Arabidopsis thaliana: one gene and its partner. The protein of the gene in region 2 purifies or fractionates together with the protein of the main gene of each other region. This does not show direct contact. Each region holds a gene or a part of one and is shown on either strand. Other genes may lie near its edges. The genes, in order: CUL4 and DWA2.

Evidence for each region.
Region 1: the proteins of DWA2 (region 2) and CUL4 purify together in Arabidopsis thaliana (affinity purification with western blotting, with the first as the bait; one study listed by BioGRID). This does not show direct contact.

Annotation. Positions count from the first base shown.
Region 1 is NC_003076.8:18,730,640-18,738,443, reverse strand, and holds CUL4 (cullin4), read left to right. Parts: upstream 1-1,628; 5' UTR 1,629-1,790; coding exon 1,791-2,037; intron 2,038-2,517; coding exon 2,518-2,633; intron 2,634-2,718; coding exon 2,719-3,065; intron 3,066-3,342; coding exon 3,343-3,523; intron 3,524-3,613; coding exon 3,614-3,736; intron 3,737-3,824; coding exon 3,825-4,112; intron 4,113-4,481; coding exon 4,482-4,607; intron 4,608-4,745; coding exon 4,746-4,847; intron 4,848-4,948; coding exon 4,949-5,002; intron 5,003-5,250; coding exon 5,251-5,357; intron 5,358-5,453; coding exon 5,454-5,514; intron 5,515-5,607; coding exon 5,608-5,739; intron 5,740-5,837; coding exon 5,838-5,975; intron 5,976-6,091; coding exon 6,092-6,172; intron 6,173-6,283; coding exon 6,284-6,364; intron 6,365-6,489; coding exon 6,490-6,570; intron 6,571-6,761; coding exon 6,762-6,875; 3' UTR 6,876-7,073; downstream 7,074-7,804. UniProt on the Arabidopsis thaliana protein: Component of the CUL4-RBX1-CDD (COP10-DDB1a-DET1) E3 ubiquitin-protein ligase complex which mediates the ubiquitination and subsequent proteasomal degradation of target proteins. Participates in the CDD complex to light-mediated control of development.
Region 2 is NC_003070.9:28,608,151-28,613,883, reverse strand, and holds DWA2 (DWD (DDB1-binding WD40 protein) hypersensitive to ABA 2), read right to left. Parts: upstream 3,692-5,733; 5' UTR 3,522-3,691; coding exon 3,477-3,521; intron 3,398-3,476; coding exon 3,314-3,397; intron 3,244-3,313; coding exon 3,111-3,243; intron 2,963-3,110; coding exon 2,851-2,962; intron 2,715-2,850; coding exon 2,615-2,714; intron 2,500-2,614; coding exon 2,372-2,499; intron 2,206-2,371; coding exon 2,136-2,205; intron 1,878-2,135; coding exon 1,789-1,877; intron 1,650-1,788; coding exon 1,604-1,649; intron 1,432-1,603; coding exon 1,361-1,431; intron 1,282-1,360; coding exon 1,208-1,281; intron 1,126-1,207; coding exon 1,067-1,125; intron 928-1,066; coding exon 886-927; 3' UTR 621-885; downstream 1-620. Other genes in the region: AT1G76270 (O-fucosyltransferase family protein), read left to right, coding at 1-330; AT1G76250 (uncharacterized protein), read left to right, coding at 4,942-5,472. UniProt on the Arabidopsis thaliana protein: Component of the CUL4-RBX1-DDB1-DWA1/DWA2 E3 ubiquitin-protein ligase complex that acts as a negative regulator in abscisic acid (ABA) signaling. May function as the substrate recognition module within this complex leading to ABI5 degradation.

The DNA of each region.
Region 1 (7,804 bases), on a different chromosome or scaffold from region 2:
TGTACAAACCATTCAAAGCTAAAATTGTTCAATTGTTTGTTTTATGTCAAGCTTACAATTTTTCAATAACTCCTCATTTTCACATGTTTGCATGTGAAAATATTGATCCAACGATCCAAGAGACTTACAATTTGCTATTATTAGTATCAATTGGGATTAATTGAGAAATTCTATAGTCTTGAAACATGAATAAAGAAAAAATAAATGTGTTGACATGTTAATGAGGGATTAAAGAAATAAAAAAAAATTATTAGTAAGTTTAAGCGAGGTGAGAATGTAATGAACACCATTTTGTATTAGTAATTATACAATTCCATAGGCTAATCAACATGTAATAAAAAGTTTTAAGACCATGCAGTCGTTGAGGCTGTGGCTGTAATAATATTCATCCTTGCAATTGCGACTTAAAAACCAGCCATGTTTTTTGGCCCAAGAACCCTCACTAATCAAAACACATTCGCACAACAGCACAAGTTATATGAGTTCGCCAATTGGTACGTCTCGGTAACACTTGTAAGACCATCTCCATCGGAATATCTGATTGAGATACTCATCAATTAAATAATAATTAAAAAGAGAAAAAGTATGAGAGAAGAAGAGAAAAGTGGAGAAACTGGCAAGAGAGACTATTCTCAGCATTTATTGAGAGTTGTCATTCAATTAATAGTTCATTTACTTCAAACTAATTAAAATATATTAATTTGATTAAAATATTAATTTATTTACTTTTTGAGATACTCTCTACCACTTTTGCCGATGGAGATGCTCTAACAATCTCATCTCGTCTCTTATCTGCTTGATAGGCTTCGGTTAAACCTTTGTAATCAGGCCCAAAGTATTAACTCCTGTAAATAATTTGATAAGCCCATATTTTGTAATCAGAACCAAACCCTAAACCGGAAGTCCAAAAACCCTGTGGAGCAGCAAGTCAACACGCCCCACATTGGCTAATCCATGACATCGATCATATTATATTTATTCATATTGTCAAGTGATGATTCTTCGTTCATGTCTTTTAACATCACACAATTTTCTGCCTGAAATTACCGACTGCTAAAAGTATTTAATCATCTCTATTTTTATCTCCATTCTCCACGTTATAGGTGAGTCTATTTTATAGGCATTTTATTCTAATATATTCTTTTAAAATAGTTTTTTTTAAAAAATAAAAGAAATATATGGAAAAAAAATCAACTCAATTTTCTTTAAAATAAAAATAAAAATATATATCAAAAATGATCTAAATATCAAGCATCGACTCGTGTGATCGATTCTTTATTCTTTAAATCGTAAAATGACTTAATAAAAATTCGACTCTAAAAATATACAATAGATATGATTTATCAGTTGTCAAAAACTAAAAATAAAAAGTAGTTAAAATTTAAAAGTAGTTATAAAAAATAACCATACAAAACAGGCAACAATTGATTATTATTTTTTATTTTTTTGTTTTTCACTTTTGTGATTAGTAACCATTAAAACAACGCACATCTAATCATTGCGGTATATGTCTATTTTTATCAATAATATTTTTTTTATCATATAGTAATTATGATTTATGAATGTATAAATAAAATAATTCTGATTTTATTCAGAGTATATAAATAAACAAAAAATCTTCATTTCTCGGGTCGGGTCTAAATCGCGAGTTTTCGCGTAGGTTTGAGCAAAAAAAAAAAGAGAGAGAGTGCACAGTGCGCTTTTGGTAGAGAGAAAGGGTTGTTATTATTTAGGATTGATGTCTTCTTCTTCCTCTTCGTGATTCTCTCACACAATTTTCACCCATTTTCATGTCTCTTCCTACCAAACGCTCTACTTTCTCCGCCGCTTCTGCCTCCGACGACTCTTCTTACTCTTCTCCTCCGATGAAAAAGGCCAAAAACGACCTCCACCATTCCCCTCAACACCCTAATACCGCCGACAAGGTTGTTGGCTTTCATATGGAGGAAGATCCAACTCCCGCCGCCGCTAATCTCTCTCGGAAGAAAGCTACACTTCCGCAACCTACTAAGAAGTTTGTAATCAAGCTCAATAAAGGTTTCGCTCGATTTCGATTTCTTTCATCTTTACGATTTTGATCGTAATCTTAGGATTTGATTTGGGTCTTTTACTCTACTGTGCAATTGATGCTCTGGATTGATTTGAAATGATACAATTGTTAAGGTTCGTGATTTTTAGGGTTTTCATTGGCTTGCGATTGATGGAAGTTTTGTGTGAGTTTTGATGTTAAATTACAGTGGAAAATTGAGTGTGACTGTTGAATTTTGATGTGAATGAGTGATTTGGGTTTTTGTATTTCTTCTAAGTTGGAATCTCTTTGTCTAGCCTGATCTAGGTACTTAAGATCCGGAATCTTTGTTGTGCACAATCTAGTTGGCTTAGCTCTCACCAAACCTAATTTGTGCCATTAGAAAACATCTTGAGAATCATCTTTACTGTGACTGGCTAGCAAATTGAAGATAAAAGTGTTTTCATAATTAGGGTTCTGATTGTACCATTTGTATTATATATGTGAAGCCAAACCAACTCTACCAACAAACTTTGAGGAGAATACATGGGAGAAGTTGCAGTCAGCTATCAGAGCTATATTCCTCAAAAAAAAAATTTCGTTTGACCTCGAGAGCCTTTACCAGGTTAGGTTACGTGCAAATTTACTTACTTCCTTTCTTATTCGTATGTGTAAATGTCGTGCTGATGAGATTGTGATTGTTTTTTCAGGCTGTTGATAACCTTTGCTTGCATAAGTTGGATGGAAAGCTTTATGACCAGATTGAGAAGGAGTGTGAAGAACACATCTCTGCAGCTTTGCAATCTTTAGTTGGGCAGAACACTGATCTGACTGTTTTCTTGTCACGTGTTGAGAAATGCTGGCAAGACTTTTGTGACCAGATGCTCATGATTCGTAGTATAGCCTTGACTCTGGATAGGAAGTATGTGATACAGAATCCAAATGTACGTTCATTATGGGAGATGGGTTTGCAGCTTTTCCGGAAGCATCTTTCTCTGGCCCCTGAAGTTGAGCAGAGGACGGTTAAAGGTCTCTTAAGTATGATTGAAAAAGAAAGGTAAATTTTTAACCTTCTGGTCTTCCAAAATTAAACGAGGGTTGATTTATCACATTGAGAATATAATTTCATAAAGCCACTTTACCTCAACTTATTTTTCTGGCTTTTGAGTGAATATGGTAAGTTTGGATGGTCTATGAACTATTCCTGTCTAGCAGTGATAACTTGTTATAGGTAAAATTTCAAGGCAAATCAGGACTAGTGTATGTCATTTATATATTGGATAATGTTTTCATCTGAATCTGCTGAACTTTCTTGCATGATATTGGTCCTGCAGGTTAGCAGAAGCTGTTAATAGGACTCTACTAAGCCATCTTTTGAAGATGTTTACTGCACTGGGAATTTATATGGAAAGCTTTGAGAAACCTTTCCTTGAAGGGACCTCTGAATTTTATGCCGCTGAAGGAATGAAATACATGCAGCAGTCTGACGTTCCGGAGTACCTGAAGCATGTTGAGGTGCCTTGCATGACTTCATATAGTTTCCTTATGATTAGCTGCACTACAGGTTAATAGTCTTTCTAAGGTTTCTACTGGTGATTGGTGCAGGGAAGGTTGCATGAAGAGAATGAGAGATGCATACTCTACATAGATGCAGTAACCAGGAAACCATTGATCACAACTGTTGAAAGGCAACTTCTCGAACGTCATATACTTGTTGTTCTTGAAAAGGTTCCAATCTCCTATTATTCTTGTGTTGGCTTGCATATTATCCAATTTTAGTTTGTCGTAGTCTTACTTTATTTCTGAACATCTTCAGGGTTTTACAACATTAATGGATGGACGTCGTACGGAGGACCTTCAGAGGATGCAAACCTTGTTTTCTAGGGTCAATGCACTTGAGTCTCTGAGGCAGGCGCTAAGTTCATATGTTCGGAAAACTGGGCAGAAGATTGTTATGGATGAAGAGAAAGACAAAGATATGGTACAATCACTGTTGGACTTCAAGGCTTCTCTTGACATAATATGGGAAGAGAGCTTTTACAAGAACGAATCATTTGGTAACACAATCAAAGATTCGTTTGAGCATCTGATTAATCTTCGACAGGTATCAAATAGTGATTTTCTTGATTATTGCCTGAGTCTCTTGCTAATAATTTTACTTTCATGTAAAAGCAACATACTGATTATTGTGGAAATGTCAACCTTAAATTACAATTGTGAAATCGAGAAATTTATATTTTATAATAATCTATAGATTTCGTTACTGATTAAGCACTGTATTGCTATGATTTGGAGACATCTTTGGGCAGTGAATACTATTTTCAAACATAATTTTGAGATCAAGCTTCTTGTGGGCACTGGACCTGATCACAGTAGTGTTGTTTGCTAATATATATCACTTTGGATACCAAATACTCTGATTTAGCAAGCATCCCAAATAATATACATCTTATGCTGATAATCTTTTTTACAGAACCGGCCAGCTGAGCTTATTGCCAAGTTTTTGGACGAGAAACTCCGTGCTGGGAATAAGGGTACTTCTGAAGAAGAATTGGAGAGTGTTCTTGAAAAAGTCTTGGTTTTGTTCAGATTTATCCAGGTTATCTCTAATTTCTTACATTTAGTACTGTGTTTGTCACTGTAAATCACTGCTTCGAGGCCAGTGCATGGTCTGTAAACCAGCTATTTGATCTTCTGGATATCGGTTTTGCTGATGGATTTTTATTATTTATCAAAGGGTAAAGATGTGTTCGAAGCATTTTACAAAAAGGATCTTGCGAAGAGACTCCTGTTGGGAAAGAGTGCTTCAATCGATGCTGAGAAATCCATGATCTCTAAGGTTAAAAACTGATTTATATTCTGGGTGTTTCCCTTTCCCACAATTTGTTTTCTATATCTGTAGTTCTCACCCACTGATCCCAACCTTGGTTTTACCTACAGCTTAAGACTGAGTGTGGTAGCCAGTTTACAAACAAGCTCGAAGGGATGTTCAAGGTATCCTTTCTTCTCCTTCTCTATATTCAAAAAAGATGTTGGTCGTTTAAGTTTTACTAAGGAACAAACTTAATGATCTTATATTTTGTTACGTTTTACGATATACCCCGGTATACATATTCATTGTTAATCCAATCTAAGACAGGATTGGCGGATGATCCTGCTCCATACTTATTTTAATGAACTTGTGTACATTTACAATAATCCTAATGAGCTTGAACTCTCCGTTTTATTGAAATTTTCTCCAGGATATTGAATTGTCAAAGGAAATCAACGAGTCATTCAAACAATCTTCCCAGGCCAGAACAAAACTGCCATCGGGAATTGAGATGAGTGTCCACGTTTTAACAACAGGGTATGTACAATGTATCAATTTTATCCAGGATATAACTGCTGGAATGCGGATATCATGACATATATAAAGCTTGTTAACTTCCCGTCTATAATACAGGTACTGGCCAACATATCCGCCTATGGATGTTAAGCTTCCTCATGAACTAAATGTCTATCAGGTTTTACTAAAAGTTCTTCTTATGTATTTTTTTTTGTTTCCTCGTTGGACGTTTTCTTACAAGCTTTTTCTAAGCTATCTGTATGTTTCGTAGGATATCTTCAAAGAGTTCTATTTAAGCAAGTACAGTGGTAGGAGGTTAATGTGGCAAAATTCATTAGGCCACTGTGTTTTAAAGGCAGATTTCTCCAAAGGTAAAAAGGAGCTGGCTGTTTCCCTGTTTCAGGTCAGTCAAATTTTTTTTCCCCCCCCCCCCCTTTTAAGCTCTTTCCTGTCTTCCCGAGGTTACAGTGTTAATCAATTGCTCTTTTCTTTTTGTCTCAGGCTGTTGTGTTAATGTTATTTAACGATGCAATGAAACTTAGCTTTGAAGACATTAAAGATTCCACCAGCATAGAGGACAAGGAGCTGAGGAGGACTTTGCAGTCGCTTGCTTGTGGGAAAGTCCGTGTCCTGCAGAAGGTTTGGCCAAAATCTGGACTCTGTTAACTCTCTTTTCAGCTAATGCAGAAACTGCCGAGATTATGGCTTTGCCTTTTTCCATAAGGATAAGCCTTATTGTGTAAATATTTTTGCAGAATCCTAAGGGAAGAGATGTAGAAGACGGTGATGAATTTGAATTTAATGATGAGTTTGCAGCTCCGCTGTATCGCATTAAGGTACGTTGGTTTTTTTCTTGGTCTCTTCACTTAAAGTATCCTAGAATCTTGTGATACTGTTTTGTATGTAGCTTATAGTGAAGCAATTCTTTCTTTTGTTCCTGGGTGCAGGTAAATGCGATCCAGATGAAAGAGACAGTAGAGGAGAACACAAGTACAACGGAAAGAGTATTCCAGGACCGACAATACCAGGTTGGTTTCTGCTCTCCATTTTCCTTTACGATACTAATTTCTGAAATCGTTCTTACAACTTTGGCTTCTTAAACAAGAAAAGATTTTGACAAAATGGTTTTCCCCATCACACCCTTCTCTTACAGATCGATGCAGCCATTGTTCGTATTATGAAGACAAGAAAAGTCTTGAGCCATACTCTTCTAATCACTGAGCTCTTCCAACAGGTAAATTTCACTCCTGCTTGATGATTTTAAAATCCGAAATAACATGTCGGTTTATGAAAAAAGAAAGCATGAAATTCGTTACTAGGTCCAGTCCTATTGGTAATATACTCGTGATGATGATTAGAGTTCTCAGTAGTCTACTAAATTTAATATACCATTGCTATGAATGGATATATGTTTGTGATTTGCAGCTCAAATTCCCGATAAAGCCTGCTGATCTGAAGAAGAGGATTGAGAGCTTGATCGATCGAGAATATTTGGAGAGGGAAAAAAGCAACCCTCAGATATACAATTATCTTGCTTAGAATCTCTTTGGTAAACACACCTTTTGAATATTTTCCTTTTTGTATATTTATTGACAAACAAACGATGACCGAAATTTTCTTATCAGTTTGAAAAAAAAAAAGAACTCTCGATATTCCAATCATCTCTATTCTCGCTGTTCCGCCCGTTCTTATGTACAGCCTTAAGTTCTATTTCTTACTTTGATTCACTTTTCCTCGGTTCTCACTTTTTTTTTTTTTTTGAACATACTTTCTTGGGACTTCTTTGTTTTCAGATTTTTATACAACTTAAAAGATGTTTTTGTTTCCCTACAAAAATAACTGATTTGTTTTAAAAAAATTCAAACTTCCAATAAAGTTCCTAAGATAGGTTATATATCTTCGAGGGTTTTCTATGTGCTGATTCCATTTTGTTTTCGTTTTTGAGTTTTATTTGAATGGAGATAGTTCTTAGAGCTTTTTCTTCGTTTTTAGGCAATTAAATCTTAAGTTTAATCGGATTTTTTTTTACACTACATTATAGGCATTTCTGTTTTTACCACTACCAAATAACTAAAGAAAGAACAGAGAGAATCAAATTGCTTACTTGATGAACGTCCCTAACGACATTTAACTATGGCTGATCAATATTGTACGCAACTGAAAGACAATTGAATAAAATTCATACTACGGTTTGTGAAATAGTTAAATGTATCTACACGTACATTTAAGAAAAATGGAAATATATTGACTCATCGTCCAACTGCTTCAATCTAGTGACTCCACAGCTTTTTAGTTCGGGTTTCATACTGTAGTAGGAAAGTAAACGAACTATGTAAAGAAAATTGGATTTCAGAAAAAAATAATTATTTGATGAAAAAAAAATTGAATGAAAATGTTGTTTACGAATATTTTTGCTAGTCAAAATTAAAATATTTATAAAATTTATTTGTCTTTAGCTAAAGTTGATG
Region 2 (5,733 bases):
ATGGGAGAGCCAAAGGAAGTAAGAGCTGGTAGAGGTGAATTTCACGAAAACCCATCCACGTGCATATGCGAAGATACAGAGGCTAAGGCAAAGGCGCAATTAGAATCTAGAAAACTTGGAAAGAAAAACAAATCCACTAATAAAGACGCAGCAGTAACTGTAACCAATGATGATCAAACCGAAGAGGATGACCCAGATTGGTCGGAGCCAGACTATGAGGAAGAACAGAGTGATCTTCAGGACAGAGGATTATACAACGGGACAAGTTTAGATTACGATGATCCATCTACCTCTGATGAGCCTGAGCTTGAAGCAATGCTATCAGATTAGTTAGATACGCATCAGTGACCTTCACATCACTACACTGAATCTGTCCTCTGCTTGGGCACTTCACAGTGAGTTTTCCAACCTTGGTGCTAAGCCTTGTTGTCACCATTTTGCATGTAATGTCTCCTGTACATAGAACCACGCGATAGAGCATTGTTTTGTTTATCAGGATCTGAGGACAGATCAATTTTTTTCAGTCATATTTTAGTACTCGGAATTGTGGCTTTACCAGAGAAAGTAGCTATAGAAAAAGGGAAAACAAGTAGGCATGTGTAGCATTATGACACCGGTGATTACTTGATCCGAATATTTTCTTTACAATAAACTGAATTATAGCAGCAGGTTCATTGACTTTGTACCAAAGTATTTTCACGAGGTTTGGTTTTACATCTTTGTGCCTTGTGCTGAGAGATAGAGATGAACAAAGACACGAGTAAAAGTTGAAGAACTGTAGAAGAATAGTTTTGATGTTGTGATTATTATAAAAACATTCAAAATTTGTCTTAAATGATAGCATATGAATGCAGCTTTTTCTTTGAAGCCTTCTTCCATCGGGACCTATCTTCTTGGCAGGAAAGGCTTGACGGATTCGATCACAACCTAACATAAGCAAACACCAAAATTATGAGATGAACTCTCCAAACTGCTTTCAGAATTTAGAATTGTTTGGGGTAATAAATCGTCTATTTCTTAGTTCTCCATAGTTCTTTAGGTTGTTGTCAAAAGCAAAGTCACTTACCCTACCGTCATATGACAATGATGCAAAAATCCAAGGCTCACGCGAGCTCCAAGCAAGGCCTGTGACAGCAATTATATAGTGACTTCATGCAGTTTTAGTGGGAAATTGTGGTAACTAAACTCAGTTTGTTCCAAGAGTTACCGTAGACACTGTCTTCGTAGTCAGTATAAGAGTTTAGTAACGGGTTCACACGCTGACGTGATGCTTCCACCGGGCTGCACAGCATCGGCATTAGAATAAAAGTTCAAAACAAAGTTGGAAAAATTGTTGTGTGCGATAATAAAGAGAATTAACCTTTCTGATGTTTTATGCTCACTAGATGCTGAAGCAAACCACAAGTTGACAGCTGAGTCTGTTCCAACGCTCTGTGTTTGGTTAATTTATCAGAAACTGACACTTTAAATATACATTGTGAGTGACAGAAATTGTTCTAGAATCATCGACTAGCAGCTTAAAGCTGTCAGTAGTGACAAGCACAATAACAATTTAGATTCGTTCGACTGTGCTAAGAGAAAAAAGGTAAGAGAAAATGGGTACCAGAATTAGCTCTTCATACTCAGGGTTACACCTGACAGCCCATGTCCTGTAAAGAAAATTCAGAAAGAACAGTCACGCTAGAAACAAAATTTCAGGTCGAAAGCATTAGATTTGTGTGCATATGAAGCAGAATCATGGAAGAGAAAAAATAATAATCCACAAAAATGAGTTTAGAGGTAAATTACCAGTGTGTATGACCAGGGAGCTCTTGCACAGGAAACTTTGTCTTCCGAAGATCCCAGAGATGTATACCAGATTCATCATCCGCAGAAACCTACACAATCGACAGTCCAATGCATAAATAGAACCATCTGATACCATTTCTGTAAATAGGGGACCTACTACCTTTCAGATAAAAAGTTCTTGCTATGAAGAAAAAATTAAATCAGAAATGACACAATTACTTCCTTGTTCCTACCCATTTGCAATCTATATAACAGATTGTTTTCTAACTTTGGAGCACTGTGTAATTCTTTGTTGGAATTGCTTGACAAGCATTTAAAATATTTGCATACAGAGAGAGAAATCTTACGAGTATATGTTCTCTCTTGAGATTGTAGTCAACATTACGTACATGGGCACGTTCAATTGAATTATTCTTCCTGTAAATATGCAAACATATCAAGCTCAACATAAAGGTATCTGATTTTGGAACCCAAAAATTAATAATGACAAACTATTGACTAGAGGAAACACGCTAGCTGTGCATGCAGGAATACAGTATATTAACTTTCATGCGAACATAAGAGAGGAACAAATATGACATACTTCATAGTACGTAAGTCCCAAAACTGGATAGATGATTCAGAAGTTGCTGCAACAGAATTCACATCATGTGGATTCCATGCTCCACCAGATAAAGAATGACGCATACCAGCTGACTCCTTAGATAAAACCTATAATTAGCAAAAAAGATGATTAAGCGGAAAGTACCTCAAAGGTGGTCTAAAAACACAGGAGGCAAAAATGATTTAATGGGTTTATCCTTTCTCTTGTTGTAGCAACAATCACCTCCGCACTTTTCTTTGAAGAGTCTAAACTCCAGAAGACAAGATTTTGTTCATCCATGCTGATTAACTTGTCAGAATTTCCAGAGGGACACCAAAGAACGCTGTTTCCACAAGAGGTATAGAGAGTCTTCATGAAAGTGAAGATAAGAAAGTTACAAGTTCTAAGACTTTTTAAACCACCGCACTTATAAGCACACCCAGTAGATAGACTGCTGAAACTGTAAACAATGAACTCACCAATTAATCTTACCAACATGTGCATCAAGGGAAGCAACACATTCCAATGTTGAAGAATTCGATTGACCATATGGCTCAGGAATCTGCCATATTGCTGCTCCATATGAGTCGCCTTGAAATTGAAAACAACAACACTGTAATTCTCCTCTGACAACACTGTAGTTTCAATTTCTGAAACTTTATGCATTCAATCGGAAAAGTCCGATTTTTTTTACTTCAAATCAACTCAAAATTAGAAGTTTCGAGATGATGAGAATTACCAGTGGAGAAGACAGTAGAGAAAATGCGTTGATCAAAAGGGGAAGAAGCAAGGTCCCAAATTTCATTAGGATGCGAGAACAATCCCTCACATAACAGCTCAGATCCACCAGAAGACAAACGAAGCAAATGAACCTTAAAATTTAACAAAGTCAGAATCTTCCGATCCAGAAATAGAACGAAACAGATCTTAAGAATCAATCACCTCATTTTCTTCTTTCAAGCTTAGGGTTCCAGTGAGGAAGCTAGTGTGATCTCTATCTGCTTTAACATCCGATATACATCTGGCCTGAAAACAGCAAATTTTCCACCATTAAGAAAGCTCGTAAATTGACAAAGGATCGGGCATGAAGAAGATCGTGAACTACCTGATACTTCAAACCATAACCAATACCCGATGATCCTCCTTGCATTATGCTCTTACGCCTGAGCTAACGTTACGGATTCAGGAAGAAGAAGATCTCTCTTCAACGATTTGCCGCTCTCTGATTTTGCTGGGTTTCGTGAAGATGATACTAATGGGCCAATATTCATTTAAATAAGCCCACTTTTACAAACTGAATCATAAACTGTTTTATTTTTGCTTCTATGGTTGACATTTGACAGTTGACACTCATGGCCCAACAATAGTTTTGCAAATTTTAGATGCAAATTAAATAAATAATTTAAATAAACATGTAAATAAATGAAAATTGAATAGATTCATATATAATAAACAGGTAAATAAAAGATCTATCACTATTGTAGTACTCCATATGTCCCATTTTATTAGATGTTTTGGCTAAAATCACATGTTTTATCATTAATAAAAATTTAACCAATAAAAAATACTGCATAATTTAAATAATCATAAACTATGGAATTAATATAAATTATGACTAGAAACTAGAGAAAAACTAATTGGGAACAACAACAAAAAAGCTTTAAAAATCTTATATACTAGGGAAAGTATTATCTTGTTACCAAAAACAGTAAAAAGTCATGGGAAAGCAAAGAAAGAAATATTATATATTAATTTCTAAGGTAATAAAAATATATGTTTAGAGCACTAATAACAAATTTGGAACCTCATTTCTTCTTTACAATTGAAGAGCAAATTCTATATATAATTATATATTGATATATGTGAACATTCTAATTAATACAATGCTCTCAAATGAATATACTACATAAAGTCATATCTTGGATAACAAAAAATACTTTTCTTTTCCTTTTGTTGAATACAAAAAGTAAAACTTTTCTTGCAACCCAAACTATCCATTTCTTTACTAGTCCACGTACGCCTTTCAAGATATCAATCTCTTCAATATACTTGTCAACATCCCCTAATACACAATGAGTGGGGGTCTAACAGTTACAATAAACGTGAAGACTGTAACGAGCATATTTAGTGAAGAGTTTATTCGAATTGATTACTGTAACGATCGAGCACTAAAACTATTCACCAAAGTATTTCAAACATTCATAAATTATTTACTAAGCAAACAAAGAAACGTGAAAAAAACAAAAGTAACATTGATCATTTCCTTTTTGAAAACGTAATCAAATACGTATATTTTAATTAATTATGCATCGGTTTTATACAGAGCTACATAGATATTTCATATCTCTCTCTAGAAGAAAAGAGAAAACGAAAACCAAACCCACGCGTAATGTTGATTTCACCTTCCACTCCAACAAACCAGCGCCTCTCCGAATCACTTCAAAAGTTTTGAAGAAAATCAAAACTCTATAAATACAAAAATCTCTCTCTCGGCAAATGAAACGTGTGTGAACAATCCACGGTGGTGGTTATTCTCACAGATTAGGGTTACGATCACTTACGCCGCCGTTATGTACGTTTCCAGGAGAATCTCCGACGTCGATCGTCGTCTTCTCCTCCTTCTCATAATCCCATCTCTCACCCTCCTCGTCTTAATCTCTTTCTCATCTCTCTCACTTGATCCTTTTCCAACTCTAGCCCCTCTTCGTAACCTAATCTACACTCATACCCTAACCGTCACCGATTTCACCGTCGAATTGTCAGATTCGAACCCTAACGACGTTATCCAAGCGGAGGAGATGGAAAATCGACGGCGGAGGAAGAGGGAGGAGTTGGTTAAGTCGAAGATTGCGGTGTGTTTGGTAGGAGGAGCGAGGCGGTTTGAGTTAACCGGACCGTCGATTATGGAGAAGATCTTGAGGGTTTATCCTAATGCTGATTTGTTTCTTAATAGTCCTCTCGACAAAAATTCTTTCAAACTTCGGTTACTTAAGGACGCACCAAGACTTGCTTGGGTTCGTATCTTTGAGCCTAAGCCAATCAATGAGACTGAGCCGATGGTTCGAGTCCTCACACCTATGAATTCGCCCAATGGCATTAAGGTAATTTATCGACTCTTTTGAACTTCCTTACCTTATAAATTCTTTTCACTAACTTTCAATTAATTAAATGTTGGAGTATTACATTAAATTTTTAAGTGCATAAAATTCGGGAATATATAATTAAGGATAAGAAAGTGATCAGGAGCGGGGACCTCCGTTTAGTTGGAGAGGTTTAGGGTTGGTGTAACCGTTTCTTGATCCGTACGTTACTCATGTGAAGGGATTTTTTGTTTGATGATGGGTTTGGTATTTGATGTTGTC